4 linked regions of the Struthio camelus genome follow. The protein of the gene in region 1 binds, or shares a complex with, the protein of each later gene. Links are inferred from orthologs where the notes say so. Each region holds a gene or a part of one and is shown in the gene's direction. Other genes may lie near its edges. The genes, in order: CNOT1, DDX6, CNOT2 and NANOS1.

Region 1 (7,429 bases):
GATGGGAGCCTCTATATGATCTGTTTTAGCTGGAATAAGGTGGCCAACACGCTCTACTTGGAATCGCTGGACAATGTTGGCTACTCCTACTCCTCTGCCAGTGCTCAGTCCATCAAAGACAACCACATGAGCCGAATGTCTATGAGGGAGCTGGGGGCTACCCCGAGTCTGGCGGCGCTGCCTCCAGCGAGGCTGGTGGTTGGGGATGCTGTGAACAGGGCAGCCAGGATGGAGACCAGCCTCAGCAGCACATCAGATATCCTCCATTCCCCCTGGTGAGATGGTCTGCCCCCACAGCCAGCCATGGAGGCTAGATGAAGCCAGTCATGAAGGCCACATTGGTGGCCTTCGAGGTGGCAGGGAGCAATTACCAGGTGCTCCTCATCTTCTTTGCCAAGTTCCCCAGCTTCATCAGCAATGATTTCTATGTTTTTGGTGAGAGCTACACAGGGGGGTCTACATCCCCATGCTCAGTGCCAAGATCGCTCATGGATCAGCATCTATCAACTTTAAGGTATGGTTAGAGGGGGTGACTGACTGTGCAGCCCAGGCGGTGCAGCTGAATGCTGCTTTCTGCCCCAGCTCGGTGCAGGAAGGTGTCCCGGGGGCTGAGGCAGGGGTGGGCAGCTCCCCACATGCCTGGTGCTCCCACAGGGCTGAATGTGGTGCTAGGATAGCACAGAAATGGGGTGGGATTTGGGGCCACAGAGGGGAAGGACGTTTTGTGGTCCCTCTTGGATTACACATGCTTGGTAGAGCAGGGCTCTGCTGGTAGGAGGTGGCACATGTTGTCCCTTATGTTTTATGTCCCCACCACATGGGATTAGACCTTGCGTCCATGCAGACCCTCAGGGAGCTACTCATACCGGGGGGTTGGATCCTTCTCAAGGCAATAGGGAACCCACCCAGGATATTATCAGTTCTCTGAGCACTGGGATGGACATACCTGCTGTGGCCTGGACGTAGCTCATGCTGCCTGCACGGCCCATCATGAAGAGGGGAGCATGCGGGGCTCTCCCTCCATGGGAACGACTCTCCTCCTCTTCCTCCTGCAGGGCTTCGGCATCAGCAATGGCATGAGCAGCTACAGTCTCAACGACCTGATGCTGATGGAGTTCTCCTGCTACCTCAGGATCATGGGGGATGAGTGAGTGGGGGAGAGCAGGACCTATCTCATCCATGGGCCACGGCTTAGCTGCCTGGGACCTGTGCAAGGAAGAGGCAAACAGCAGGTGCTGCAAATGGGGGAGAGCTGGGGGGAAAGGGAGAGCAAAGAATCCAGCTGTCTCCGGGTGCGTGGGGGACACAGGGCATGGGAGGAGGCATGTATGTGCCTCGCTGGGGCCCTTATGATGGAAATGCTCATCTCCGGTAGCGGTGGTGTGGCGTGTTCCTCCTCCACCATGTCCCATCTGGGGGTATCACCTCTCCCGCCTCTGCCCGCAGGTGTGAGCTTCGCTCAGCCAACACTGCCGTGCCAGTGGTGTCTGCAACTTCTTCAACAGCAATTAGAAGAGTGCCTGCATGGCCACGGTGAGCGGCGGGCTCTGCTCGGGGGTGCTCGGGGCACAGGAGGGGATGGGGCGGCTCAGTGTACGGCACGTCCCCTGACACCCACCTTGTGCAGAGTCCCTAGTGGCTCTGATGCATGCAGAGCCCTGACAGGGGGCTTCTCCCTGCCATGGGCTAAGCCCGGCCCTTCCCTCACGCTCTCCCAGATAAAGGAGGTGTACGGGATCATCTGTGGCATTGACCTCAACATTTACGATCTCTACGCCCCCTGCTATGGGGGGGGGGGGGGGCCGCTACCAGCAACGCTCCACGGCCAACTTCTCCAGCGTTTTGCACCGGGACCGTTTTAATGTCGAGGGGCTGCTGAGTAATCCCAGGCTGGGAACATGTCACTGCCAGCCTTGCACTCAGATTTATGCCAGCTGTGAACAGGCACCACTGCAGCTCTGCTGGGCCTGCCGTTAGCAGGCGGGGCGCGGGATTGCCCCTCCTGCCTCTGCGGAGGCCCTTGCCAGGCTTGGCGGTGCTGGGCAGGGAGCAGCACAGCCTGTCTGAGCCCCGACGCCCTTGTGACACTTGCAGGCAGGCAGGGGTGCTCTGCAAAGCCGGGGCATTGGGAGGGGGGGCCAGCTGCCTCTTCCTGGTAGGAACAGTTTGGGGTGCAAAAAGATAAAAAGAGGAGGAAGGAAGAATCTGTTGGAGCAAAGCGCTTTGCAGAGGAGAGCGGGATCGCCCCTCTGGTCCTTCTGCCTCATCCTCTTCCTCACACCCTTGTGCCCTGGAGAACGCCCACCACCAGGTCCTGGGGATGCCTGGGGACAGGCTGGCAGTCTGGATCTCAGGGTCCGGAGCCCAAGGTCCTCCTCCGGGGACGCAAAACAGGTGCCACAGGGGCTGAGGCATGGAGAGGAGGCAAGAAGGGAGCAAGCATAGTGCAAGCCCTGAAAGCAGAAATTCAGGGGATTAGAGAGAGAGAGAGAGAGGGGGGGGGGGGGCTCTGGGAGCAGGAAGGTCCAGAGGTGAAAAGCAGCCCTGAGGTCATTGCTGCAGCAGGTGCCTCTTCGTGCGGTCTGCTCCGTGTGCTCGTCGCCAGAAAGCCAGCTCCGTCCCTGGCGTGCCGGCCTGCCTCGACGCTGCGGCCATACACGTTGAGCTGAACTGTGTCGATGTCCAGGCAGCTCTGCACGTCACCCGCCACCTGCCCACCTGGGAGCTGTGCGGGTGAGGCGGCCGCCGCAGACTCCCACCACAGCTGCATTCGAAGGCCACTCTCTGGCTCTGCCAGCCCTGGTACTGCAGCGACTGGGTTGCTGGCTTCTCCCAAGAGTAGAAGAGAGCAACGTGAAGGTAGGTGCTGTCCCTGCGCGCAGGGCTGCCCCAGGGCCGGGAGGGGTGCTGGCCTGGCACCGCCCTGCGCCCTGATGGCACCTGTCGTTTCCCACCTGTGCGGGGTTTGGGGCACACGGTGCAACATGTCTGGCCTGGCCGGCTGCTGAAGATGTGCAAGAGTCTCCTGTCCAAGACCTCGCACGTGTGAGTGCCCTGCACTGCCTGCTGTGGGGTCAGGCCAGCTGCTTTGGGCACCCCGCCACCGCACGCTGCGGGGCAGGGGTTCAGCTCACCTGTCTGTGTATATGTACATAGGAATAAATGTGTTGAGTGGGCAAATGGAGCAGTGGTTTTGGCAGGGATGCCATGGGGGAAAGGCAGGGCAGCCCACCTCCCTTTCCCATGCAGGACAGGGCAGGGCCCAGCACAGCTGAGGTCTCTGGGGCAGGTTGGCACAAAATGGCCTCCGTGCGCACCCCTGGGAGGGAGCCTGGGCCACTGCACTGTGCGGGGGTGGGGGGTGCAAGTGCATGGAGCTGAGTTGCTGCACTGCGGGGAGTGCAGTGGGGGAATGCAGTGCATGTGGTGGGGGGAGTGCAGGGGGCCATACCACTGCACTGTGGGGGACATGCTGCAGTGTGTGGGGCTGTTGCACTGCCAGCCAAGGGGGAGTGCTGCAGTGTGCAGGGTCATGCCACCCAATTGCAAGGGGGATGCAGCGTTTAGGCCCCATACCAGTGGATTGCGAGGGGGGGGGTGCAGTGTGTGGGGCTGCAGCACTGGACTGTGTGGGTGTGGGGGAAGGCAGTGTGTGGGGCCCTATCAGCACAATGCAAGGGGGAGCTGCAGTGCATGTTGCTGAGGGGGAATGCAGCATGCGCGGCCGTACCACTACACTGTGGGGGGGGGCAGTCCAATGCTTGGGGCTGTACCACAGTCTTGAGGGGGGTGCTGCAGTGCTCTGCATGGAGGGTCTGGACCACAGCGGGCAGCGGGTGGGCCGTACCACTGCGTGTGCTCGCGGGGAGGGAAGCCGTCCCGGCGGCCGGCCCCGGCGAGGCGGGCTGCGTGGGTCCCCAGGCGCCCCCCACGCAGGCGGGTGGGCCCTTCCGGGGTGGCCGACACTAGTGCGGGGGGCGGGCGGGCGGAGGCGGTGCTCCCCCCCATGACTCCGCGCGCCCTTTGGCGCTCCCCTTCCACTTCCCCTTCCTGCCCCGCCCCCAGCGGAGCGCCCTGCGCTCATTGGACGGCCTTTCGAGCCTTCTCCTCCCCTTGCGAGCGCTGATTGGCAGCTTATTGCGCATGCTTCGGTCAGGATGCCTTCCGGCTCTGATTGGCCAAAGCTGTAGGAAGGACGCCTCCTCCTTTCGGCCAATCGGCGCTTGGCGCTTACTCCGCGCGGAAGGCCGGGGAGGGGGGAAGATGGGTGAACGTCCCCAAGAGGTCGCGCCGTGCTGATTGGGTAGACCGAGCGCGGCGACGCGCTCTGATTGGGTGAGCCCCTGGCGAGGGGGCGGGAGGCTAAGTGGCTGCTCCTCTCCCTCCACGCCTTCCCTCCCCCCCCCCGCTGCCGTGCCGCGAGGGGACGGGGGAGGGGAAAGGCCGCGACGTGAGCGCGCGACCCCGTCCGCCATTTTGTAGCGAAACCAGCGGAGGCGAGAGGATAAAAGCGCGAGCTGCCCCAGCCCCCCGCCTTGCTCCGGCCCTGACCCACCGCTTGAGGTGAGAGGTGCCCGCTGCGGCTGGCCTCGCTTCGGCCCGCGCCCCGGCAGTCCCAGTAGGCGGCGGGTGGGGGTGGGGTGGTGGTCGGAGCACCGGAGCCTCCGGCGCGAAGGGGGGCGGTGTCGGCGGTGACCCCCCCCCGCCTCTTCCCCCCCCCCCCCCAAGGGGGACTGGTGGGCCGTGGTGTGGGCCGCGGCGAGGCCAGGCCCCGGCGGCGGTGGGAGCAGGGTAGGAGGCGGCGGGGCCGGCAGGGGGAGCCCGCGGGGCCCGTCGTTTCCGGGGTGCGCGTGGTGCTGCCGCTGGGGCGCCCGAGGCCTGGCCTGCCCCGCTCCCTGCCCGCCACTGTCCCGGTCCTCGCGTCCCCGTTGCTGCCCTTGCCATTTCTCGAGCCGGCGTCCCGCTGAAGGAAGCAAAAGGCGAACAAACTTTCAAGGGTCTCACTTCCAAGGGTTTCGCCTCACTGTCGGCTTGGGCCGTGCATGGTGGTGATAACTGATGGGAGCCGCGAGTGTTTTCAGGTCCGCGGGATGCTGCTTGCGGTTCTCGGCGCAGGAAGAAAAGCTCCACGAACAGACTGCGTTTTGATCGCTTCGAGATGACAGCGAAGTCTTCAGCCATTTATTTTGTCTTTGTTTCTGTCTACTTTCTACTTCTGTAGAGTTGATCGTGAAAGGCGAAGCTGTGAGAAATTTGAAAAGGAGCAGGCGCTGGGCCTACCCATGAGTTAGATTTGGTGACCTCCTTAGAAGATCTGTGTTGTTGTGACTTGCCCAGTGAAAAAAAAGTAATGCGTAAACAGTGGAATATAGTAGTACAATCTGGTAGTATATCCTTGCTGCAGACTACACGGAAGAGATGCATCTCAGCACTGTCATCTCGTTAAGGGCACCCTGCATAGTAGCATAGACTTGCTTATTTGAAAACTAGGATTATCAACAGTTGGCTGTTTTGACAGATACTATTTTTTTAGAAATAGGTCCTTTGCAGTAGTTGTCTTACTCTGAGTTAGTGTTACATCCTCTGTATGGATTAAGGTTAGTGGTCAGTCACGATTTAATTTCAGCAGACCACAAATATTTTCTTAGGTTGTACTTCAAACAGAAATGAGATAATATGGAAAGTTTTTGTGTGTAAATATAATGAATAGGGACTCTTAGCCTCTCACTGTGTCACAAGTTTAGACAGTGTCTGTTTCTGAGTCTGACTTTTTAGAAGGAAGTACAACATATACTCCCTGTGCATCTTGGCTTCCTTTTTTTTTTTTTTTTTTTTTTTAAGCAGGTAACAAAACAGGTATGACATTTGACAAGTCATTCTTGAGGCATGTAACTTAAATGCTTCCTATTTCTAAGGTAACTGCGTTGTCATTGACTAAAACTACAGGTAGAGCTAGTCCAGATGAGGTAACTGTGTTGTAAGCAGGAAACAAAGTTAGCAGGTAATACATAGATGTGCTTGTCCCTTCTAGAATAGTTATTTCCTTGGTTCTTTTGTCCTTATGCTTATAAGTAGGCTTTTAACTACTGATCCCATTGTCCTGATATCCCTAAACCAAACTCTTAGTAAACTTGGTGTCTGCCTATCTCCCCTCTTTGGAGAAGGACCTAATCCTTTCTATTCTTCTGGCATAGTGTTCCGAGATACATAATACTTTTTTTTTTTTAATTGATGCTGAAATGGTTACTTTTGGTATTCAAGGCAATACTGAATAAGGTGGAACAGAGACTGTGCAGCTATTAATGAGCAAAAGTGGATAGTGAAGCTTTGTGACCCTGTGATTGGTCATCAATAAATAGTGGGAGAATTGTACCACTGAGAATCATCGTTGAAGTCAGATCTCTGTTTTGTTTCATAACCCTGGCTACTCTTACAAATAGTGCAGTTCTCATTTACTTCTTTGTTATAACACTTAACTGTTCTAAAACATTTTTTGGATGGAAAAAGCAGTCTACTGCCTTTGAGAATGGGTCCTTAATTTATCTAAAATGGAAACTTTATGCTGCAGTGCCTAACTGAAGGGAAAGGAGGATGTGAAAGTTTCTTGGATTTTTTTTTTTTTTTTAGTGTAAAATGTCCTTGTTGAGATGTGAAAATACCTTGTTGAGATGTGTAAAGTTGCCATGTCATGATGTATGCCTGATGTGTTTGAGGTAGGTTCTGCACCTGAAACTTAACTGGCCTTAACTCAGGAGCATAAGCATGTGTGCTTAGTTCAGCTGTTATCTCCAAATTAGTTACCATGTTTAATCAGCATCAGTGACTTCCAGTTGATTGGAGCTGTGTGTAGTTACACAGTAAACAGAATATTCAGGTGGTTCCTCTATGTGTAAATACCTAAATTTGAACAAGTGGAATTCAGCTGTAGCTTACTGTACTATTAATGTGACCAATGCTGTAAGGTTTTCCTTTGCGTAGTTTTCATAATGACTGCCTGTAATCTAACTTAACTGTAATGTGGTTTGAAACCTTCCCCCTCCTCCCTTTAGGAGTATTTCTAACATGGGTCTCTTGAAGCGTGCAGTTCTTTCATATTTTCTATTTGTGCATGGATTTTGCAGAAATGAGTAAGAGACTTATTCTGAAGAGCAGGTTAGTGGTGTTGCTCATAGTATATTTTAGAAGATGTTTTTTGACAGGAACTTATAACTTTACCAGTGAGCCTGATGCTCTTTCAGTCACTTGAGCTGTTTTACCCTCTGCATGGAATACACATGGCCTTAAATCTGTACAGCTCTTGAAACCCAATGGGAGTAAGTTATTTAGCTTTGCAAAATATTAACAAACCAAAGGCTAACTTAAAGAAGTTTTTAAAATGATTTTCTTTGTAAGGCTGTTTCTGAATATGTATAGAGGACTTCAGATTTGT
Region 2 (7,327 bases), on another chromosome or scaffold:
AAATGAGCTCCAAGCATAGAGAGACCTATTTGATGTGACGATTAGTATCTAGCTTGATCATCCTTGTTTTAAAGTGTTGTAAGTTGATTTTTAAGGTAAAGTTTGAGAAGTCTATGGTTCCTTTGATCTGTAACAAAGAAGCCCCAAAGGACGCGTTAGCTGCTCCCTGCAAACATTGAGGGCTCTTGGCAACTGCCTTGCTAGGGGCCTAAGGCCGGAACAACCTGGCAGGGTTTGGAGAGCACTGTGCTGAGGGACGGTCTTACTAGAAATCTCCCTGGGTTGGGGCGACTTTCTGGAGCTATGCAAGATGTTCAAGATGCCTGAGGAAACGCAGAAGTCTGGTCTGTGGGACCGTTGCCCTCTGCCTCTGGGTCATACAATCTGCTTTAACCTCAGTGACCTGCAGCTGTTTTTCTTCTCCTTCTCCCACTGCTTCAGCCCTCACCTTCATTCAGGCTGGCTTGCAGTGGTTTGCGCTGGAAAGCGCTGCCTCAGCGGCTGCTCCACAAGTCCAGAGAATGACATTAGTGAGCAGAGGCTTGTCTAGCGCTACAACAGAAACAAATGATCTGCTGTATGATGTAAAGAAAAGCCCATAATTTTGCCCATAATAAAGGTAACCTCTCCGCTCTGGGAAATGAGTGTTTCATCCCAGGACTGTCGTAGCAGCAAATTCATGGTGTGCAAACCTCAGGTGAGGTGAGCAGCACAGAGTGACATTGTGGCCTGGGCTGCTTTTGGCAGGGGCCTTTATCTTTGTGAGGAGACAAAATGGTTTGATGTGTAGGGTGCCTGCCCTCTTCTTGTCTGAGCGCAGCTGCACTGAAGGCGCTGTACTGGAAAGGAGTCTGATGGGACTCAGATCAGAGAGGAAGGAGAAGTTACTCTGGTGAGCACCATTTGATTTTATTTGCTCTTGATGCCTCTTAGCGGTGAACCGGTGACCCTGGCCTGATGGACAATCACCTTGAGGCAGCCATGAGCAGAGACACGGCTGCCTTGAGGGTGGTGCCATCCTTCCTTCCCCCCATCACTGAGGAAATTCCTCGTGCACCGGCCTGCGCTCTCGGGGGCAGCCCTCAGGTGCCCTTTTTTACACTGGAGCGAGAGGATGACAAGCAGCGAGGTAGAGGGAGGCCATCTGGGAGGTCGCGCTGTGCCTCGCATGCCCTGCTTGGTGGGTGGAGTAAAGACCAAGAGGGCGCCCTGCTGCAGCAAGCCTCACTCTGTGTGGCTCACGTGTCCCAAGGTGCTGAGCTGCCAGTGCTGAGGGACGAGGACCGAAGTGTGGTACCTCTGTGTTGAGGAGACAGAGAGATTAAGGAGGATGTTTTCCCTCAACTAGAAACGGAGGGTGGAGCACTCTCCATCACTGACTTCCTTTAAGGGCTCACACAGACGGTGGTGCTTGTTCCCAGAGGACCGTACCTGCAGCAGGGTGCACTTATGACCAGCTCTGCCCATGAGGCCTCTGTTCTTGCGACCTCGAACAAATTTTACCCCCTCCCCCCCGCCCAGCTGCCCCCTGAGCAAAGTGGAAGCGAAGGGCGAAGTAAAGTACTGTGAGTTCATAGGTGAAAGTGGTACCGCAGAACTTACTCTGTTGCAAGGATAGCACGCAGGATGTACCTGCAGTCAATTGGAGGAAATGCTACAGGGAACTGTAGGCTGGAAACGACCCCCAAGCCATGTGCTTGGCCCTTAGACCAGTGGTGGAAATGAAAAGAGTTCATCCCAAAGCGATAGGCACAAGTGATTTAAATTGCAAACCCACAATACCCTGAGTAGATGATTGCTGCCATACCGATGTGACCTAGAGGATCTCTGCGTTGCTGAATTGTGAAATGTAGGAAACGTGATATGAAAGAAAGGAGCGTGGAAGAAAAATAAGTGTAGAAAAAAGAAACTCAGATTTAAAATAATGTCACTTCAGAGGATGCCAGCAGGTGGGTAGCCTATTACGGAAGAAAATCTTACCAAAGTGCAAAGACAAGTATTTGAGGAATGCTTTGGTGTCCGTACATGGGAACTCCCGGCTGAACTCTGATGCAGGAACATTCTCTCACTACAGAACCATTCTTGTATTATCACTAACATAAAATTATGTTAACTTGTATAAGGTATTCCGATAATATTGAATTATTCAGATTTATATAAGGAGGATAAAATGCACCACTTGAACATAATTGCCCTACTGTGCATAACTGACAAACATTTCTACTGACTGGTTTGACATTATATTGGCTTCCTAAGCTATGCTTGAGAAACCCAGCTCACTTCTCACTGCTGAATCTTCTCACTTCCAATGTTTTCAAGTCATCCTGTTTGCTGTTATCCTAACTAAGCAAACCATGTGCTGCCCACAGATGTTACTCGTATTTGCTAATCTGGTATTTATGTTGTCATTTATTCTTTCTCCTAAGGTTACTGCATACTATGTCCTGTAAATCTCATTGTGAAGTAAGATGCTTAGCCCTACCGACAGTTAAAATGAAACACTGCTCTCTCCACAGCAGGGTCTGAGAACCAAGCAGGCACTGGAGAAGTCAGTACTGGTCCTGTACAGAACGGACTGTACAGTCCCTGATGCTGTGAACGGCTTCACAAAGACAGTCCCAGCTAGTACCTCTGCAATAATTAGGCCGAAAGGCAGCCAGCTGGCACAGTAAGAAAGAAGTGAGGTACAACTTTTTCATGCCCCTGGCATCTGAAAGGTTCGACAACTGTCTTTCTCTCTTGTGCTGCTTGGAACAGAAGGCACATTAATACTGTGCTTCAATTCTTCAAAATCCTTGTACTGATAATAGATATATTGAAAGGAAATAACTATCTCAAACGTGTAATATTAGGTGATTCTAGCTCCTGCATGCTGTGGGTCAGTCTCCTATCCTTAATGTTTTGCTCATGTTAACTCTGTTATAATAACTACACAGTGAAGTCATGTTCAGTTTCCAGGCTTTTTATTAGGAAATACATTTTTTTGGTAGCTCTGATATTAGGTCTGAGATAGATTCTGCTTCTTAGCCAGAGAAGTCATCAAGGCTGGTGGTTTCTGTTTTCGGTGTTATGTTTTCCCCTCCTCCCTATTTTAGGGATATGTAAATAGGCAAAAATACTTATGTAGCTTCAGGTGCAAGTGCATCTTCATCGCCAATGCAATACATGTATTTGCATTGTGTATGTGTGTTTCTCTGTTGTCCACCCCACCCTCCAATGCCTTTAGACTTTTTGGAAATTTAATATCTCTGGAAGTGTCCCAGGACTGAATTAATATTTTGTGTTTGTTAGTGAAAAGAACAGGCAAAAAGGCAGGATGGCTCAAGAGAAATGAGGATGTGGAAATGGAAATTGCCACATCTGAGGGGGAAGCAAAATGCAGATCGCTCCAAGTGTACACGGACAGTGACTGTATAATCTCCATCCCAGAACACTAAAAGAACTGGAGCATGAAATTGCAGGTCTAGCAGCAATGATCTGTGCGTATCTCTCAGTGCAGGAGCGCTGCCATGTCAGTCGAGAATAACAAATGAGAAGGGAGGGAACGTGATCCGGTCCACGGCAGACCTGTCTCTCTGATCTAAATAACGCGCAGGGCTCAGCGCGTGTTTTGCACATCAGAGGGCCTGGAACTGAATGAACGCAGTATAAAATGCGACCCACGCTTAGCAAAGGTAGATCGTAACACGCTCGCCTCCTACTTCCTTTTTCTTGCAAGGCAGATGGCTTCGCAGATAACGGCAGCGCAGTGAATCAGGTCTCTCTGGATGTCGGCCGAACCGCGGATACAGAGCCATAGGGAAAGTTCCTAGTTCAGGATGGTAAAGCAGGTGCAGAGCTCACTAAAGGAGAGGAAAACGGGGGGCGGCAAGAGGTGCTGAAAGAAGGAAGCTAGGGATGGAGTCGCGAAGGAAGGAGTTTTGAGCTCAGCCCGGCTTTGGACCTTCTTCATAAGGAGTGAAAGCCGGGGGCCGTCCCTGGAGGAGAACAGGGCGCAGCTCCTTCGGGAGGAGCTGGGCGCCTCTGCGAGCCGCAGCAGCGCCGGCCGCGCGGACCGCCGGGCCGAGAGCTGCTGCCCAGCGCGGCGGGCGGGCAGCGGGAGGCAGCCAAGGGGGGGCCGGGGCCGGGGCCGCGAGGGCCGAAGGGAAGGCGGCGGTGCCCAGGAGGCACCCCCAGCGCCAGCCGCAACGGCAGGCCGGGGCCCCGCCCCCTCGCCCCGGCCCCGCCCCGCGCTGACGCACGGCAGGGGCGGGGCGCGGCGCGGCGCGGCGCGTGCCTGCGTGCGTGCGTCCGCGCGTGCGGGGCGGGGCGGGGCCTGGCCTGCCCTGCCGGGAGGGGGAGGGCGCACGGGAGGAAGGAGGAAGCCGCCATCTTGGAGCGTCGAGTCGCCATAACAAGGCACCAAGGGGGAGCGAGAGGATTTTATACCTGAGCGAGGGGGGAGCGCGGCTGGTGGCGGTGAGGACGGGCCAGGGCGCCGGGGCGGGCGCGGGGCCGCGGGGAGCGCAATGGAGGCCGCCGCCGCCCGGCCGAGCCTCGCGGCCTGCGCCGCGTCGCGGGAGCGGCGGGGCCTGGCCCGGGCCTGGCGGCGCTGAGGGGCCGCGGGCCGGGCGGCTGCGGCCGGGGCGGTGCGGGAGGCGGCGGCGGCGCGGCGGCGGCCGCGGCGCTCGCTGCCGGCCCGAGCGGCGGGGCCGCGGGCGAGCGGGCGCTTCTCCATTGTTCGCGGGCGGGAGGTGCCGGTATGGCGCAGCTGCGTTGCGCGGGCGGCGCGGCCCCGCCGCCGGGCCCGGGGCGACGCCGCGCTGCGGCCTGGCCCGGGGTGGCGGCAACAATGGGCGCCGCGGGGGTTCCCGCGGCGGGGCCGGCTGGGCGGCCGCTTTGTGCCGCCCGGCTGGGCCGCGGAGCGGTGTGTCGTATCTGCTGCCGGCGGAGGAGGGAGCGGCCGGGGGGCGGCTGCCGCGCCTGCCTACGTGGGCTGCCTCGGCAGGGGAAGCCCGGGGTGCGGGGGCCTCTTTGCGGTCGGACCGCCAGTTTGTGAAATGGTGGCGCTGCTTGTTTTGGACGTGGAGGTGTGCCGGGCCTGGGGAGGTTGTGTGCTGCCTTTCAAAGGATGAGCACGAACGAGGGAGGCTAGAGGACTAGAACTCCCTTTAATAAAAACATTGGAGGAACTCTTGTTGGTGTATCCGGAGTTTTTAGGTGACTCGTCCGTTTGGGTGTGAAAGTAAGGTTAAGGGGGGCTGTCTTTTCAAAGAAGATGTTTAAACCGTGCTTCTAGCCAGGAAACTAACTAGGAAATAATCTTAATTCTAATAAGCTTGAAGTTATGCTATGAAGCTATAATCAATACGCTGGGAAACAGCTGAACAATTCGAGAAGAGTTTGAATTCCGTTTCTATCTGCTTTCCTAAGTATAGTATTTATGTCACTTTAAACTTCAGATGCCAGTATCTGTTTTAAATCTGTGTTTTAGTCGCTGAGGAGTATGCATTTTTTTGGACGTTGAACTTGGCAATCATCAGCCTGCTGGTTTTCCCTTTGTATTGTCCCAAGATGCAGATGCTTTGCAATGAGAAATGTTACCTGCAAGCCTACTTTCTGTTCCTCTAAAAAAGTTTTAGACTAGGGAGTGTCTTGGCTCCCTATTACCATCATAAGAAGAGTTTTTCAACTCTGGCCATGTACGTGCTATATGTAAGATACAAGCTTTATATTATCTGCATATGTTTTTGTCGACTCTTTTGTTAAGTATGACGTCACTGTCAAGTTACGCATTCGAATGTTATCTTTTGAGCGCGGTATGGATTGTTAGTGACAGCTGGAATGTAACGTCATGCAGCACACAAGCAGGAAGCTGCGTACCTAGTGTACATGTGTTTATTCATTGCTTCAGACTAGAGATGAAAGAACAGTTTAGGTGCAGTCATTTAGACTTAACAAAGCAGGAAGCTGCTGTCAGTTCAGCTTGATGATGTCATAAGTTTTGCTCTTCTGAATGATTTATAAATGTTTAAGTTGGGTATTGGTTTAAAGTAAGCTGACTAAACTAATTTTTGGGGGTGGATGAGGGAAAACTTCCAAGTCACTCCTGTAGTTGGTTGGGTTTTTAAGATGGTATGTCATCATTCCTATTTCTAGTTGAAAGGACAAGTCAGAGTATCTTAAGGGTCTTTTGAATTCTGCCTATAATGTCCATTCGATATTGTGGTCTTACTTTCTGTCATAAACTTCTGTGTGATGTTGTTGCTTAGTGTTTTATGGCTGCTCTGCTGTGTCCCAAAGGTGGGTGCATTTCAAGGATAGGCAAAGCAGCTGATATAATTCATGCCTACTTTACAAGGGGGCTAGGTAGTATTTTTCAAGTGATTAATCCCAGGAAGGCTGCTGAAAGTTCACAAAATGATCTCCGGTGACCTACAGTGTTGCACTCAGCTTTATAGCAAGGGAAAACAGTTTGGTGTGTTTGGGGTACTTAAACCGAGGAAATAGAAAAGCAGGTACTTTGTGTTGCATGCTGCCTGAGAAGAAGTGATTTTTAGGTAATGCATGTTATTGCAGGCAGTTTTACAATATAAACAGATGCAAATTCCATAGGCAAGAAATCCACATATTAATTGTTGTCATCTGCTTCTTTTTCAGATTGAAGCAAGTGAATTTGGATATAACTCAACTTTGTTAGAGGGCTTTTTTTAAAAAAAAAAAAGTTGATCCACAGTGCATCAGAGCAAGTTACTGCTTTACTTTTGAGTGACTTACAGGTGCTTGCCTGCATTGCAATAAAGGACTCATATATTGAGCAAGACTTATTTATCTCTTCATTTTGGAGAGTCTAATAAACTGTTATTACAGTTTCTGTACTGACTTTCAAAGTTTTGAAGTCTAAAAAGACATCTTTAAAAATAAAAACATGAGCACGGCCAGAACAGAGAACCCTGTTATAATGGGTCTATCCAGTCAGAATGGGCAGTTGAGAGGCCCTGTTAAACCCAGCGGGGGCCCAGGAGGTGGAGGCACACAGACTCAGCAACAGATGAACCAGCTGAAAAATGCCAACACAATCAATAACGGCACTCAACAGCAAGCACAGAGTATGACCACCACTATTAAGTAAGTATTCATGTAAATACTAAATAACGTTAGCTGACGTAAAAATAACATTTAAATTTCATGCATGGGAAAGTGTAATTGGTTTCTTGTATTTAAAAAGTTTTTTATTCTATTGTTTTATGATATTGGTGACAGAGGTGTCCTGTGACATGCATTTAAAAAAAGAAAGGATTTTCAGGTGTGAGCGTCTCTCTGACAGTGGTCTTTAGTAATTTAGTAG
Region 3 (7,535 bases), on another chromosome or scaffold:
AATAGTTTCCAATGAGAAACAGAGCTTCTCACCAGGCAACTCTCCAGTGACCACCAACAAAACCACCACTGCCTACAATCTTGAGAACTGATATACTAAGGGTTCCCCTGTCATCACTCCTGTAATTTCAGTCTCTCCAGGGATAGTCTCGCTTGGGAACGTCAGTCAGCACCTTCTCCTTGTGTTTCCCTAATATTTCCTTTCCTTTGGAAAACATATTTCTGTCTGTAGCACTGTCCTTCTCTTTGTCTTAAGAATTACAGCAAACTGCTGCCATCTCTATTTCTTGATTTATCCCTTAATTTAGTCACACTCTTTGGCTGACCTCTTAGTTGTTATACAGTAGGTGCGAAGCATCTTATATTTGGAAAATCTTACATTTTATCTTCTGTTTTGGGTCATATTATTCTACAGAATTGGCAGATTTCTTTTTAATCCTGGTATTCTTTTCCTGATGCTCTGATATAATTAACACTAATTCATACACTGAAGGGACTACGGCAGAATGCTGAGATAGGGTTTCCTGACAGTAAAAATATATCTGAGACTATACTATATATCCGAGACTGAATATATCTGAGACAGAAGACACCTCCCCTCCTGTTCCCAGTATTCCCTCCTGGAAACTACAAATCCAGCAGATGAGAGGCCATCTGTGTGGATACCTTGTACTGCATTTTAACAGTAAAACACTAATGGAGCTGCACTTCCAGGGTTTCCCTTGCCAGTAGCCATCCCTGGAAATCCCCTGTAGGAGTGAAAGGATAGATGAGGACAGTGCCATGGAAACAGTTGAGCCTTTCCTTACCTTATCTAAATAAACTAGAAACTGCAGACTAACTTGCAAAAGTCAGCCTAACTATGCAAATCCTCCTCCCAAATCAAAGTATTTAGCGCTCCACTTCAGTGGAATAAATAAGAACTACGAGACACTACAGTGAGAAAATGAGGGGCCTTATTGTCTGCGCTCTTGAAAAAACAAACTCATCTTTGTGGTGAGATCTTGAATAACAGATTTGGCATAACATATGCTTTGACTTATCTTTATCCTGTGTTTTAGAAATATTCTAAAATCAAATAGGCTGTATTTATGAAAAAATCTACGTTCTTCTGAGGCAAAGATCAGTGCATAATAGTCAACAGGTGAGCACCCTACAGTCGTGCTCCAAAGACAGCAAATGGACAGTTTTGAAAATCATGCAGCAAGAAAGGTATCTGTGAGAAGCTGCTGCTCCCAGTTCACGGCGGGTCTTACACAGTTCCAAATTCTGTAGAAACCAGAAACCTCTGCCTTTTTTGGAGGCAACATTTTACTGTTTTAGCTAATCAAAGGCAGCTTGCAACTGAGGGGCAAAATCTTCTGGCTCCATCTGAGTTTCTTCTAATGCACTAACGTCAATTTGTGGAAGAGAAATATGGCCTATTTCATCACCATTGAAAAGCTGCTAATCCTTGCTCTAGGCAATTGCACTATTTGTTTTTCTTAAGGAATACTGAGGCAATCTATAGGTTGAAGAAGGAAAGACCCTTGTTGCTCTCCAATGCACTTCTTTGTTCTAATTAAAATGAATTACAAGACCAGCTATTCATCAGATTCTGCCTCCACTCATGATCTAGGATGGTGGTCTTATTATCAGGAATTTAATTTTACATTTTGGCAAGGTAGATGGAACTTCCTAACCGTGCGTGCCTCATATATACTCTGGGCAATTTGTCTTCCTCCTGCTTCTGCGACTGCGTAGTCCACATCTCTCAGTGCCACTTTGAATGGAGCCAGCTAGCATACAGAGGCTTTCTGGAGCAGGTACTAAGAAAAACTGCACAGAATTTCCAGTGATCTCACAGAGTCGCGATAACAAAGCATTTAGGGCTTCTGAGCACATCCCTCCCTCTTGTTGCCACCTTCCCAAGTTTTTTCAGGCTGCCAGTGCTCCACCCAACTGCTGTAGGCTTTTAGCTCTCTGTGGGTATCAGCATAAGCAACAGTCAGTTGGGAATACTAATGGCTAGATGAGTTTCATGGCTGCATCAAAATATGCACATTAAGGCCCCAGCCTTTCATGTAGAAAACTATGCTTTTGACTTCATCAGAACCCCATTAATACTTGACTGCATGGGCCTGCACATGCAATGAGCTGCAAGACAGGTTTTCTGTAGCTGCTGCCATCACACATTGTTCCTTCATCTGTGCTGCTGTATACAGGTTTGCAATAGGTAGTCTAACATTGATGAAAAAATTGATGCTTATCAGCCTAGTTGGTGAAATAAGTCCAAAAAAAAAAAAAAGGGAGACCTTTAATTAAATGGAATTGAAAATAAAAAATGCGTATTGGTTTGCAGACAAAGATTTGCCCAAGGAGGTCAAACTGAATATACAAGGGTCAGGTTCAAAATGGATTAGGAGCGTCCACACACAATTAGTAGCCATTTAATTAAATGAGCTCAGAACACCTCTTCAATTATGCAGGTGCCACTACGCAAAACAGGCCTCACCATTGTAGAAAAATGTATTCAGCCAATAGTAAAAGTAGCAAATGTAGGCAACACATTCCTCACAACTCAGTCTATTTATCAACCTGAGATTATTTTCAACCACTAAAATGCTAACAACTTTCACTTTCTTTAAGAAAACAAATGAGGAAGTCACATAAACACATAGTATAGTCACAGTGACAGCGTTCCACAACGAAACACACAATTTCACGGAGAAAGGCAGGTTAGATTTTTTAACTGACAGAATTTAAATCACAATTTACACAGGTTGCGATTGCTGCTTACGCTATCATATTAGGCTAAGACAATGAAAACACACTTTTTTGCATTCCCTGGCTCTGTTGAACTATATAGCCTTGCATGAATGTTAACTGACCTGCATGTGAACTGTAACTTGGTAATGGATACAGAGATCAGTCCACGCAGATGCAACGAAAACATCAGATGTTTAGTTTACTTGCATCATATTGTACTGGACATTGTAAAGTCTTAAATGATGTCTCTCTTTTGGGGAACAGAATGAAATTTAGAAAAAGAAACTCAGTTGAAGCATAAAAAGAAACATAATGGAGTAAAACTTTTACAAAAGGGATGTGCAATGGTCAGCAAGGCAGTAAGAAAAGCTTATTAAATAAGAGCAAGGATTAATGAGATTCATTATTGTCTTCAGTTTGAAAGCATAGCCTTACTGTCTGTAACGTGATATGAAGAAATATTTTTTAGATTGAACAACAAAAGTACTCCCAAATCTCATAGATATTCTAGTTAAAACAGGATGTCACTTCTGGGCTTTTATAATGGTTAGTTTATAGCAAATATACAGGTATTTGAGATACAAAGGAAAGGTTCCAAAATAAGGATAATAAAATAGAATATTTTCCTGGGTGAAGTGTATGAATATTTATTTCAATGACATGACACCTTGTAACTGTGCTCAGCAAAAAGTTGATGGCATTAATGAACCAGTTTCCTAGCTTGCAGAATGTGTTCTTTCAGCTTCAAAAATTGCTTATGTTGACAGATGTATTACTGTAGATATTAACATTTCTTTAAAACGTAGGTGTTGTGTAACCTACTGAACATACATATTTTTTTAAGTTCTGTTTGGAGACATTCATTATGAAGGTACCTGAGTGATGAAGAAAGCATGCCTATGAAGAGACTGGGGAAAAAAAAAAAACAAACCCTGTTCCTGATAAAGTATGTTCATTTTTTGGTTTGAATTTTCAAACTTTATGACGATTTCATAATGAAATTAATGCGGAAGGTTCCACTAACAGCTTTTCTTGATGGGGCAGAGAAGTCAGCTCACAACCGTAAAACACTCATGTACGGGCTTAGCTTCAGCACCGTTTACAGTCCCACTGAATTCAGGGGGATTATTTGCATTGGGAGTGTTTCGGGCATCCGCACGTGCCCTACTCGTAGCACCGACACACATACTTTCAGGGTGATAAATTAAAAAAAAAGAAAACAAAAGGACAAAATAACAGAGCAGTCCCATCTGGGCAACTTTTTTTCCCCATTTTAATATCTGGCCAAGCGCACAGGAGGGCCTGGCTGCCCGCCGCTACCTCAGCCACAGAAAAAAACCCCACCAGCTTGAGCAAAATTGGGCCCATCGGGAGGGCCGCTCCCGTCCTCGGCCCCCCTAGGCCGAGCCCCACGGCCCCGAGCCACGGCGCGGCCGGGGAGCGGGGGGGGGGGGGGGGGGGCAGCCGGCGGCCGCCCCGCACGGTCCCCCGCGGCGCCGCCATGTCCCCAGCGGCACGGGGCGGCCTTCACAAAATGGGGGCCGGCGGGGCGCCGCGGCCTACTGCCCGCCGCGGGGCCCGGCGGCGGCGGCGGCGCGGTCCCAGCCGCTGGGCCGCGTCTCCCCCGGGAGGCGGAGGGAAGCGCCGCCGCCGCGTCTCTGCCTCCTCCTCCTCCTCCTCCTCCTCCTCCTGCTGCTGCCCCCGCCCGCCGCGGCCCCCGGCCGCACCCCGCGGGGCCGCCCCGCGCCGCCTCTCCCCGCCCCTCGCGCGCGTTGCCAGGCCGGGCGGCGGCGGCGGCGGCGGCGGGGTCACGGCGGCGGCGGCGGCCGGGTCAGAGGGTAAAGGTTGCTCCCCCAGCATCCTCCGAGTTGGGATACTCAGCCATCTTGGATTCGCGGGACAAGAAAATTCATGCGGTGAGTCCGGCCCGTTTCTGCCTTTCCCTCGGCCCCCTCGCCGCGCCGCCCGCCCGCCGCCGCCGCCGCCTGGCCCCCCGCCGCCGCCGCCGCCCGCTCGCCCGCCCGCGCCGGGGCCCCGCGGCTCCGCCGCCCGCGCCGGGGCCGCGCAGGCCCGCGGCCGCCCCGCCGGGTTTCCGTTTGCTTTTGTCTCCGAGGGGGAGCGGGGGGGACGCGCGGCGCCCGCCGAGGCAGCGCAGCCCGCCGGCCCGGCTCGGCCCGGCCCGCCGCCGCCGCTGCCGCTCGGGGCCCGCCGAGGCCGCGGCTCGGCAGCGGCGGCGGCGGCGTCCGGGCCCCGCGTACCGCCGGGCCCCGCGTCTCCTGCGGCCGGCACCGCGGCCCGGGACGGCTCCCGGCCGCCGGCAGAGCCCCTCGGCCCGGCCCGGGCCTAGCCGCGGCCGCCGGCGCCCCGCCGAGCCCGCCCCGGCGTTGCGGTGCCCCCGGCGCCGCCTCCGCCGCCCCCGGCCGCGGCGCTGCGGGCGCCCACGGGCCGCGCTGCCGGGGCGCCGCTGCCGGGCGGCGCCGCTCGCCGGAGTGGCCTTGCGGCCTGCTCCCTCGGTGCCCCGGGGAGGCCCCGGCTGAGGAAAGGGGGTGAGGCGGGGATACTTCTTCCTTGTTTTCTTTCAAAAAATGTGCTTTTTAAAAAAAATTTTGTATACATTTTTATAAATATATATATATATATATTTGTGCGTGCACCCGTTTCACTCTCCTCCTGGCGGCGGTTAAGGCGATGTGTAAGGAGGCTCCGGTGTTTCCTCAACCGTGTCTGTAAAACAAACTTGGAGCGAACTGGTCCGCTGTGCCGAGCGCGGATGCTGCCGTGCTGTGCGCGGTGGTGCCTCGGTCCGGGCGCCCTGGCGTGAACCTGGCCCGGGGGCAGCGCGCAGGAGCGGCGGGCTGCGGTGGGAGAGCCCCGTTGGCGGGGAGGAGTGCGAGGCGCAGTGTTTACCCTGTCGTATATGTGTGTGCGTGTGTGTGCGCGCTTCTGACTGGAACTCTGATTTGCTTGCAAATATCACGGGTTTAGAATTTATGTTTTTTAATCACGTTACAGGTAGCTTTGTTTCAGGGAGGGTTGTAACATGACAAAACGACAACCTGCTTGTGTTGGTTGTGGCTCAGCAGCTTCCGCTTTCTCACAAGGCTGTGTTGGGAAAAACTCGTTTCTGACTTTGCGCTATTTTATCCCTATGGGAAGATGGAAACTTTATATGTGCGTATGTGTGTGCAGCTTGAGCGTGTGAAGGAAGCACTTGCGTTGGCCTGCGCAGCAGTAACATCTGGTGCTGGTGACTGGCCACTGGACTTAACTCCAGCTGGGGGGAAGCAGTTTAAGATGATCAAACCTGCTGTCACATCAGTTAGGAAAAATCTTTTTATTTCTGGAAACTGGGGTATTTTTCAAACTCCTAAAACGTGCAAAGGCCTGTAAAAGCAAGATAATTTTGTAGGTTCACATTGCAAAGATATCTTTACTTGGACCTAGAAGAACTGCTGTGTGTACATTGGTGTTCTTCAAGTTCTTTCATAATCGCATGTTAATAGAACACAGCTTGCAAAATCCAGTTTTGTGATCTTAAAGACTATGTATGTGTCCAGTACCTTTTTTTATTTTTTTTACTGCCACTATTGTTTATGCTGAGAATTCAGCTGACATGATAAACTTGAAGGTGTCAACTGCTTCAGATCTTAGGAAGGGATTTGAATACTTCATATCGTGAGCTGAGTGACTTGACTTGCAAGTGTATTTCCGTTTCACTTTCAGGAAGCTGATGATAAAGCTAAGAGAGCTTTAGTAGATAAACCTTGTCTACACGTCTCTTCTAGAAAGTTAATATTGTTGTCAAAGGAGCTGTTGTTAGAACTGATGCATGCACGGGTAGCCCCAGTAACAACTAATGAAAGCAAAAGCCCTTGGCTAAGAACTAAAAACAAAAATCCTAGAATTTGTGAAATTTAACTTGTATTTTCTTTAAATGAGTCTAATTTTAGATGATTGGTACTCAGTGGAAGAAATGGGGTAGTTAACATGTCCAAGTTTGATACTAAAAACTGGTGCCACAACTAGCTGTTTACACCTGAAAGTGTTGGTCTTTACCTTTGCCCGTTAATGAAAGTTGTGTATACCTGTAATGGAATGGTAGCTCTGATAAAGTGTTTGTGTTGTATTTGCCGAATTTCTAAATGAATTTCTGTCTAGACAGGAATTAGTTTTGAAATTAGAAAATTCGTTGCTTTTGTAGCCTCTACTGTGTTTTTATTTTTTAATTTATTTCTTGTGTTGGTGCAAGGGCCTGTCTTTTCTGAAGTTGCAAGATTGTAACTTCATTATAGTTTAAAAACAACCTTGGATCATAGCTCTATATATTTAAAAACATCTCGTACCTCCTTGTTATTATTGACTCAAGAGGTGCATGTAACTAAAAATACACCGTAATTTAGTTAAAATAGAGGTTTCTTGCACACCACTTTCTGACTTGATCTAGAAACTGTAGAGAAACATTCAATAGCTTTTGTTTTGTTATGAGGTAGTATAGAAAATGCAGCTCAGCTTCTGAGTGCAAATTTTTAACTTTTTTCAGATTTTTTCTGCTTGTAAAGCTATAGCATACTTGAATACAGATTTTAAAAGGCACTGTAAAGGATGTATTCTTAAAAAAAACTCAAATCATTGGCAAAATACTTGTCATATTTGTTGTGTTTATTTCTAAACGTTAGCTTAGAAGGGCTCTATGCCAGTTTGTATAGAGGTACAGTACCATATTCAGTCAAAAAACTTTTTGTCACAAATTTAGATGTTTGCTCTCTAAATGATAAAGGATAGTCTGTT
Region 4 (5,643 bases), on another chromosome or scaffold:
CTTTATTCCTAATGTATCTCTGCAATGAACCCCTAATCTCCTCTCTGAACTTGACAGCTGTCCTGCATGCACTCCAAAACCCCTGTATTTCAATCCTTCTATCATTCTAGCTAAAGGATTTGTTAGATCATTTTTTCTTTAACATGAAGTCTTTCTTCCAGCACCTCCCTGGCCTGTTATTGGTGTGCGTGAGAGAGTGGCACCATTTTGCTTTGGCCCTGCAAGGCTTCCTGGACCCCAGGGACACCTCACCTGCGGCGTGCTGCCTAAACCACCCTCTCGCCACGGCACTAAAAGGTGGCATTTAATCCTCGGGCATGGTCTGGGGACTCCGAACAACACAGTTGCAACGCAGGGGAGCGGGGTGGCACCGCATACCGGTGGCCACCACCGCTGCTCCGTGGCACTGCGTGGAGCCGCTGCATCCTGGGAGCCCTCCCGCTCACACCGTGCCGCAGCCCGGCTGCCGGGCCTGGGCTCCTTCTGCCCCGAGGGCCAGCCAGCGCGGGCACTGCACACCACCGCACCACATCCCTGGGCTCTGCTGCCAGCGCAGCCCAGTCGGAAGCGACCTGGGCAGGGCAAGGCCACCCTTGACAAACTCCAGCACCCAGCGGGAGCCCCGCTATCAACCTTCCCGTGCAGGTGATTCATGCCCGGCTTTCCGCGCTCACAGCTGCTTCAGTCCGTGACGCGGTTTCTCACGGCTCGGAGGGACTGCAGAAAACTTTCCCCTTCACTGGGCATAATTTGGCCCCTGGTGTTGAATTCACAGTGCCAACAGCTATTTGTCACTTCCATTGCAGCCTCCAATTTTTCCAGGGTTTCTGCGCAGCCTGGCCACTAAATCTTGCACGAGACAAGGCACCAAGACAGCTATGGCCTTACACTATCAAAGACCTTACAGGGGCTGGCAAAAGGCTACTTTGGGATAGACTCAGAAATAGTCCCAGTCTCTGGCTGGAAAGTAGGCACGGAGCGCCAAGCATTGTTTTTTAATGCAGTTCTCAACATTTCTCTGCCCTGAAGCATATACCAGTTTTCCATTTGCAAAGAACACCAACATGCCAGTGATGGGGGAGGAGGTATTCCCTTCCAAGGTGCAGCTTTTTCCTCATCAGCCATTCGTGACAGTCTTGATTTTTGTTTACTCTTTGAAACGGTCTGATGAAACGGTTTCGCTAAGGCATTGATCTGTCCCAGTGTCAGCAGAGGTGTTCCCTGCTCCTGCACCAGCGCTGTAACGTGCCACCCAACAAGCGGGCGCAAGGTCAGTAGGGAGCCTGCTGACGTCCGAGAGCTCTGCAGATACCCCGTCTCCGAGGAGGCAGCCCTCGCAGCGAAAGTCTTGCTGCACACGTGGAGCGTGATTTGCAAACATGTGGACGGGGGAAGGAGCAGAGTGACTCTCGCAGTACACTCTGTATATTTACATTGACAACATATGCTAGGTCTACCAGAGCTGTCGGTGAAATAAAGGGGACTGTTCCTGCCGTGCTAATAGCAGGCGTCTATCCCTGCACAGTGTTTTTCTAGTGCAGATATTTTTCATGCTGCTCTGTGTTCTTCATCACACTCTGCATTGGCAGTGAGGGGAAGAGGACCGTGTTCCTCTTTGCCTGTGCCACTTCAGCTGCTACAGCATAAAGTGCTTTGAAATTATTCACTCTCCAAGACTCCCTCTTAGAAATGTCTAGAGAAGTAGATGAGCAAAACAATTGCCCCAGGAAATGATGCTCAAACATTTTGATTGATCTCCCTGCACTGTTTCACCCATCTGTTACTTCTTTCCCAGTGGCTCCAGCACAACTTGCAGGCGCTCACCCCTCTGGAAAATCAGGCTATCCGTTTGTGTTCAGAGAGGCAGTATCCCCAAGGCTCACTGGGCAAGCCCTGAAATGCTCCACTGAAGAGACAGAAAGCTTGTAACGTCACTACGTCTCAGAGGCTCTGCAAAGGGCTCTAAGGCCAAGCCTGATGCTACACAACTGTGAAATGTCCGTATGGTCAGCTGGTGCAGAACCACGTCTGACCACGAGGACAGCTCCAGCACTCGGCGTATAACTAGTAGAGATGCTCTAAAACGGGACCTCTTTTGCAAATGTTTGCACTACTAACACGAGCCCTGTCTTCCACCCATTGCGTTCACAATCTGAAATGTTTCCAGCCCGCTCTGTTCCCTGAAGCCAACCACACTGTTCTTTGCTGCTCGATACACCCACTTCCAGCCACTTTACACAGCTGGAGAGGTGTATAAAGGCCTGGCGGTGCAGGGAAATCGGTCCCCCAGGAGGTATTTCTGATATCTGAGTTTATGAAATCTGCCAATTTCAGCTGCAAACAAACCACATGCAAATGCTGATTTACCTGCCAGGGGAGCGCCTGTCAGACCCACAAATCAAGGCTGTGCACTGGGGAGACAGATTTACTACTGACAGAAAACTCCACCCACTTTGCTCAGCCCAGCAGCTCTTACCATGGGCTGGAAATTAATAGGATTTTTAATTGCAGCTGCATTTTTAACCCTTTTTGCCCAAAAGGAAGAGTATGCATGTAACGCTTCCCAGAGGGGGATATGATTTCCAGGGGGTGGACCAGCTGTGAATTGTCGGGGGGGGACATGTGTCTCCCTACCACCGCCCCACATCCAGCAGCCCAGAGGCCAGTTTGCAAGCACAGGCCGGAAAGGTGACATAGGCAGAGCTGGGCCAGCAAAGCCTAGGTTGATTGGGTTCCCCAGGCGGGTGCTGCGGGACGCCTGTGTCGGTCCTGCTCTCCGGGACTTCTCACACTGGTGGCGTCCGTGGGCACAGCCACGTCACACCGTGCGTTCACAGCTGTAATGTAGACCAACCTCATCCCATTTGTTTCTAGGGCTGAATCTTCCGGACCGGTTTCACGTGTGCTTCAGCCATGCCTCCTTGGAGACGTGATCCAAAACCTCCTGTTCCTTGTGAAGAGCGGTTGTGAAGAGAAGAAATAATCCTTGCCCCGTACATACTAGCACCTATGGGAAGACATCCGTTGCCCTCCATGAGCTTAACAGGTACTAATCACCTTCCAGTGTGGGGGTTTTATGTTACCAGACTTGTTTCATCCTTACATCACCCCGCTGAAGACGGAGAAGACGACGACGTGAGGCTGCGTGCGAGAGCTCGTGCTTTGCCCGCTCCGAGCTGCGCCGCTCCGGCCCAGGGCTGCGCGGAGGAGGCAGAGCAGCTGGCTCTCGGGAGCCGCCGCGGCCTCCGCTCCGGGCAGACCGCCGCTCGCCGCGCTTTGCCAGGACCGAGGCTGACACAAGCCCGTTCGGGCAACCGGACAGGACACCAGGCAGGCAGTAAGGCACCTAGCTCTCAGATCACCGCTGCCAACCCGCCTAGAGGACAAGGGCATCACTGCGGGATATTCAGACACTAGGTCAACGGATATACTCCTAAAAGAGCGACGCCGTTCCCTTGCTTTGGCTCTGGGGATGGCTGAAGAGCAGCTGGAGGTTAATGCTGCCACTGACCTCTCCCCACAGCACCACAGCGGGCGAGCGGCGGCCCGACCCCAGCACGGGCCGTCACCTTCGGGCGGGGTTTGCCGCTCCCGCGGCCAGCCTGGCTCCCGGCTGGCCGCAGCGTGCCACGGGCCGAGCTGGCCGCTCCGGACCCACCAGTGTCCCGCTCTGAGCGCCAGCGCCCACGAACCGGCCAGCCGGCTGCCTTTCCCGCAGCGCGGGCGCCGCCGGCGGCGTTGGGGGTGTAGAAACGGGGCGGGCTCGCTCGTCTCCGGCGGGGCATCGCCCGCCCCGCTCCCGGCCGCCGCCGCTCCGCCGCCGCTTCCACCGCTGCACCCAGCCGCCGCCGCCGCCGCCGCCGCCGCTCCGCCGAGCACCGAACGCGCCCCCGCCCCGCCAGCCAATGAGCGGGAGGGGGCTCGGGCCGGTGGCCAATGGGAGCGCGGCGGCTGCCCCGCCCCGCCCCGCCGCCCCCCCGCCCCTATTTGAGGCGCGGCGCGCGGCCGCGCGCTCCCAGAGGCTTCGGCGGCGGCGGCGGCGGCGGCGGCGGCGGCGGCGGCGGCGGCGGCGGCGGCGGCGGCGGCGGCGGCGGCGGCGGCGGCGGCGGCAGAAGACCCGACCCGACCCGACCGGGGCGGAGCGGACCCCCCCCCCACCGCCCCGAGGAGCGGCACCCCCCCCCCCATATGGAGGCTTTCCCCGGCGGCAAGCTGGAGCAGCACCGGCACCTGCCGGCCGTGGAGCGCCTGCCGGGCTCCCGCTACGGCGCCCGCGGCCACAGCGGCTGCGGGAACGTGTTCAACTCCTGGAACGACTACCTGGGGCTGGCCACGCTCATCACCAAGGCCGTGGGGCCCGGCAAGGGCTTCGGCGCCGAGCCCCCCTCCGTGGTGGTGGCGGCCGCCGTGCCGCCGCCCGGGGAGGAGGAGGAGGAGGATGAGGAAGAGGAGGAGGCGGCGGCGCCGTACTTCGAGGGCGCGCTGGACTTGCACGACCTGGCGCTGTGCGGGCACCACCACCACCACGGCGAGGGGCTGCTGGAGGAGCGCTTCACCGACTTCAGCCCCTTCCCCGGGCGCGGCGGCCCCGCCGCCCTGGTCTTCGGCTGCTCGGGCGAGCACCCGGGCCGGGAGGGCTCGCCGCACGCCTGGGGCGGGCTAGTGGTGGCGGGGCGGCTGCCGGCGCACCCGCGGGCCGCCTCCCGCCTGCTCAAGCCCGAGCTGCAGGTCTGCGTCTTCTGCCGGAACAACAAGGAGGCCGTGGCCCTCTACACCACGCACATCCTCAAGGGACCCGACGGGCGCGTCCTCTGCCCGGTGCTGCGGCGCTACACCTGCCCGCTCTGCGGCGCCAGCGGGGACAATGCCCACACCATCAAGTACTGCCCCCTCTCCAAAATGCAGGCGGCCAAACAGCTCAAACACGCCCGGACCGCCCTGGGCAAGAAGGTGCGCTAGGCGCGGCCGGGGACGCCGGAGGGGCGAGCGGCCGCGCAGCGGGGCCCCGCCGCCCAGGAGACCTCTTCCTGCTCTTGTCTTTTTTTTTTCCCCTTTTTTAAGATTGTCTTAAGAGCGGATTACGTTTTGTTCTTTAACACATTAATATATTAAACGCGGAGACTAGAGTGTGAGAGTCCCCGGGCTGGTGTCTTGCAGCGGATAGCTTCTAGTTTGTGCGCTTGGCGTTCAGGGAGCCCAGCGCGGAGCCTAACGCTATGTCATGGTAATTGCGCCGTTTAGATGCACTGTATTTGTTTATTGTATAAATATATATATATATATATGGTTTTTATAAGAAAATGGGTTTTACGACGAGATCTAATGGCGAGGCGTGTCGGGAGGGGGTGTTAGAAGAAGCGGTGGGCGGCGGCGGGGCCGGGGCTGCGCGGAGCCGTCCCGCGGCCGGCGGGGGGAGATGGCCCCGTCGGACCCGTCTGCCCGGGCCTCGCGGCGGGGCGGCGTCGCCCTCTGCTGCCTTCTCGCCCGGCCGCCGGGGCAGCGGCGCGCCGCCCTCACCGCTCGGCCCGGCCCCGGGCTTTGTCCTGCTCCGCTCCGGACCGGTGCGCAGCGCTGCTTCCCTCCGGCTGGTCCCTGCTTTCTTGCACAGCCTGTTCCCGCAGCGTCTGGACTGCGTGGAAAAGC

What was found.
Region 2: the proteins of CNOT1 (region 1) and DDX6 are in contact, whole or in part, in a crystal structure (PDB 4CRW), measured with the Homo sapiens proteins. The link is inferred for Struthio camelus from reciprocal best matches to the Homo sapiens genes CNOT1 and DDX6. Residues at the interface, in NP_057368.3 of Homo sapiens: Glu1097, Ala1100, Phe1101, Phe1103, Asn1104, Asn1105, Leu1106, Ser1107, Ser1109, Asn1110, Lys1114, Lys1137, Arg1138, Ile1141, Glu1142, Asn1144, Phe1145, Leu1148, Tyr1149; in NP_001244120.1 of Homo sapiens: Phe329, Ser330, Arg331, Leu332, Gln333, Ile334, Asn335, Gln336, Leu357, Gly358, Tyr359, Ser360, Leu384, Arg386, Asn387, Ala402.
Region 3: the proteins of CNOT1 (region 1) and CNOT2 are in contact, whole or in part, in a crystal structure (PDB 5FU7), measured with the Homo sapiens proteins. The link is inferred for Struthio camelus from reciprocal best matches to the Homo sapiens genes CNOT1 and CNOT2. Residues at the interface, in NP_057368.3 of Homo sapiens: His1864, Ser1865, Ala1866, Ala1867, Arg1870, Asp1871, Gln1917, Pro1921, Ala1923, Pro1925, Ala2003, Tyr2036, Leu2039, Glu2040, Ser2043, Arg2045, Ile2048, Ala2049, Ala2053, His2054, Leu2079, Leu2084, Lys2086, Gln2089, Ile2090, Leu2091, Tyr2092, Lys2093, Gly2094, Leu2096; in NP_001186231.1 of Homo sapiens: Met350, Val351, Asp353, Gln354, Phe355, Gly356, Met357, Ile358, Gly359, Leu360, Leu361, Phe363, Ile364, Arg365, Gly372, Met373, Val374, Leu376, Ala377, Leu378, Gly379, Ser380, Asp381, Leu382, Leu385, Leu387, Asn388, Leu389, Ser391, Glu393.
Region 4: the proteins of CNOT1 (region 1) and NANOS1 are in contact, whole or in part, in a crystal structure (PDB 4CQO), measured with the Homo sapiens proteins. The link is inferred for Struthio camelus from reciprocal best matches to the Homo sapiens genes CNOT1 and NANOS1. Residues at the interface, in NP_057368.3 of Homo sapiens: Ile2327, Ile2330, Lys2331, Trp2338, Glu2350, Phe2353, Gln2354, Val2356, Ala2357, Met2361; in NP_955631.1 of Homo sapiens: Phe40, Ser41, Ser42, Trp43, Tyr46, Leu47, Leu49, Thr51.

The regions. Positions count from the first base shown.
Region 1 is NC_090951.1:23,133,209-23,140,637, forward strand, and holds the start of CNOT1 (CCR4-NOT transcription complex subunit 1), read left to right. Parts: upstream 1-4,427; 5' UTR 4,428-4,563; intron 4,564-7,429.
Region 2 is NC_090963.1:135,029-142,355, reverse strand, and holds the start of DDX6 (probable ATP-dependent RNA helicase DDX6), read left to right. Parts: upstream 1-4,324; 5' UTR 4,325-4,458; intron 4,459-5,473; exon of another isoform or gene 5,474-5,681; intron 5,682-6,639; 5' UTR 6,640-6,907; coding exon 6,908-7,107; intron 7,108-7,327.
Region 3 is NC_090942.1:41,015,375-41,022,909, forward strand, and holds the start of CNOT2 (CCR4-NOT transcription complex subunit 2), read left to right. Parts: upstream 1-4,524; 5' UTR 4,525-4,663; intron 4,664-7,535. UniProt on the Homo sapiens protein: Component of the CCR4-NOT complex which is one of the major cellular mRNA deadenylases and is linked to various cellular processes including bulk mRNA degradation, miRNA-mediated repression, translational repression during translational initiation and general transcription regulation.
Region 4 is NC_090948.1:7,455,873-7,461,515, reverse strand, and holds NANOS1 (nanos homolog 1), read left to right. Parts: upstream 1-4,183; 5' UTR 4,184-4,188; coding exon 4,189-4,959; 3' UTR 4,960-5,127; downstream 5,128-5,643. UniProt on the Homo sapiens protein: May act as a translational repressor which regulates translation of specific mRNAs by forming a complex with PUM2 that associates with the 3'-UTR of mRNA targets. Capable of interfering with the proadhesive and anti-invasive functions of E-cadherin.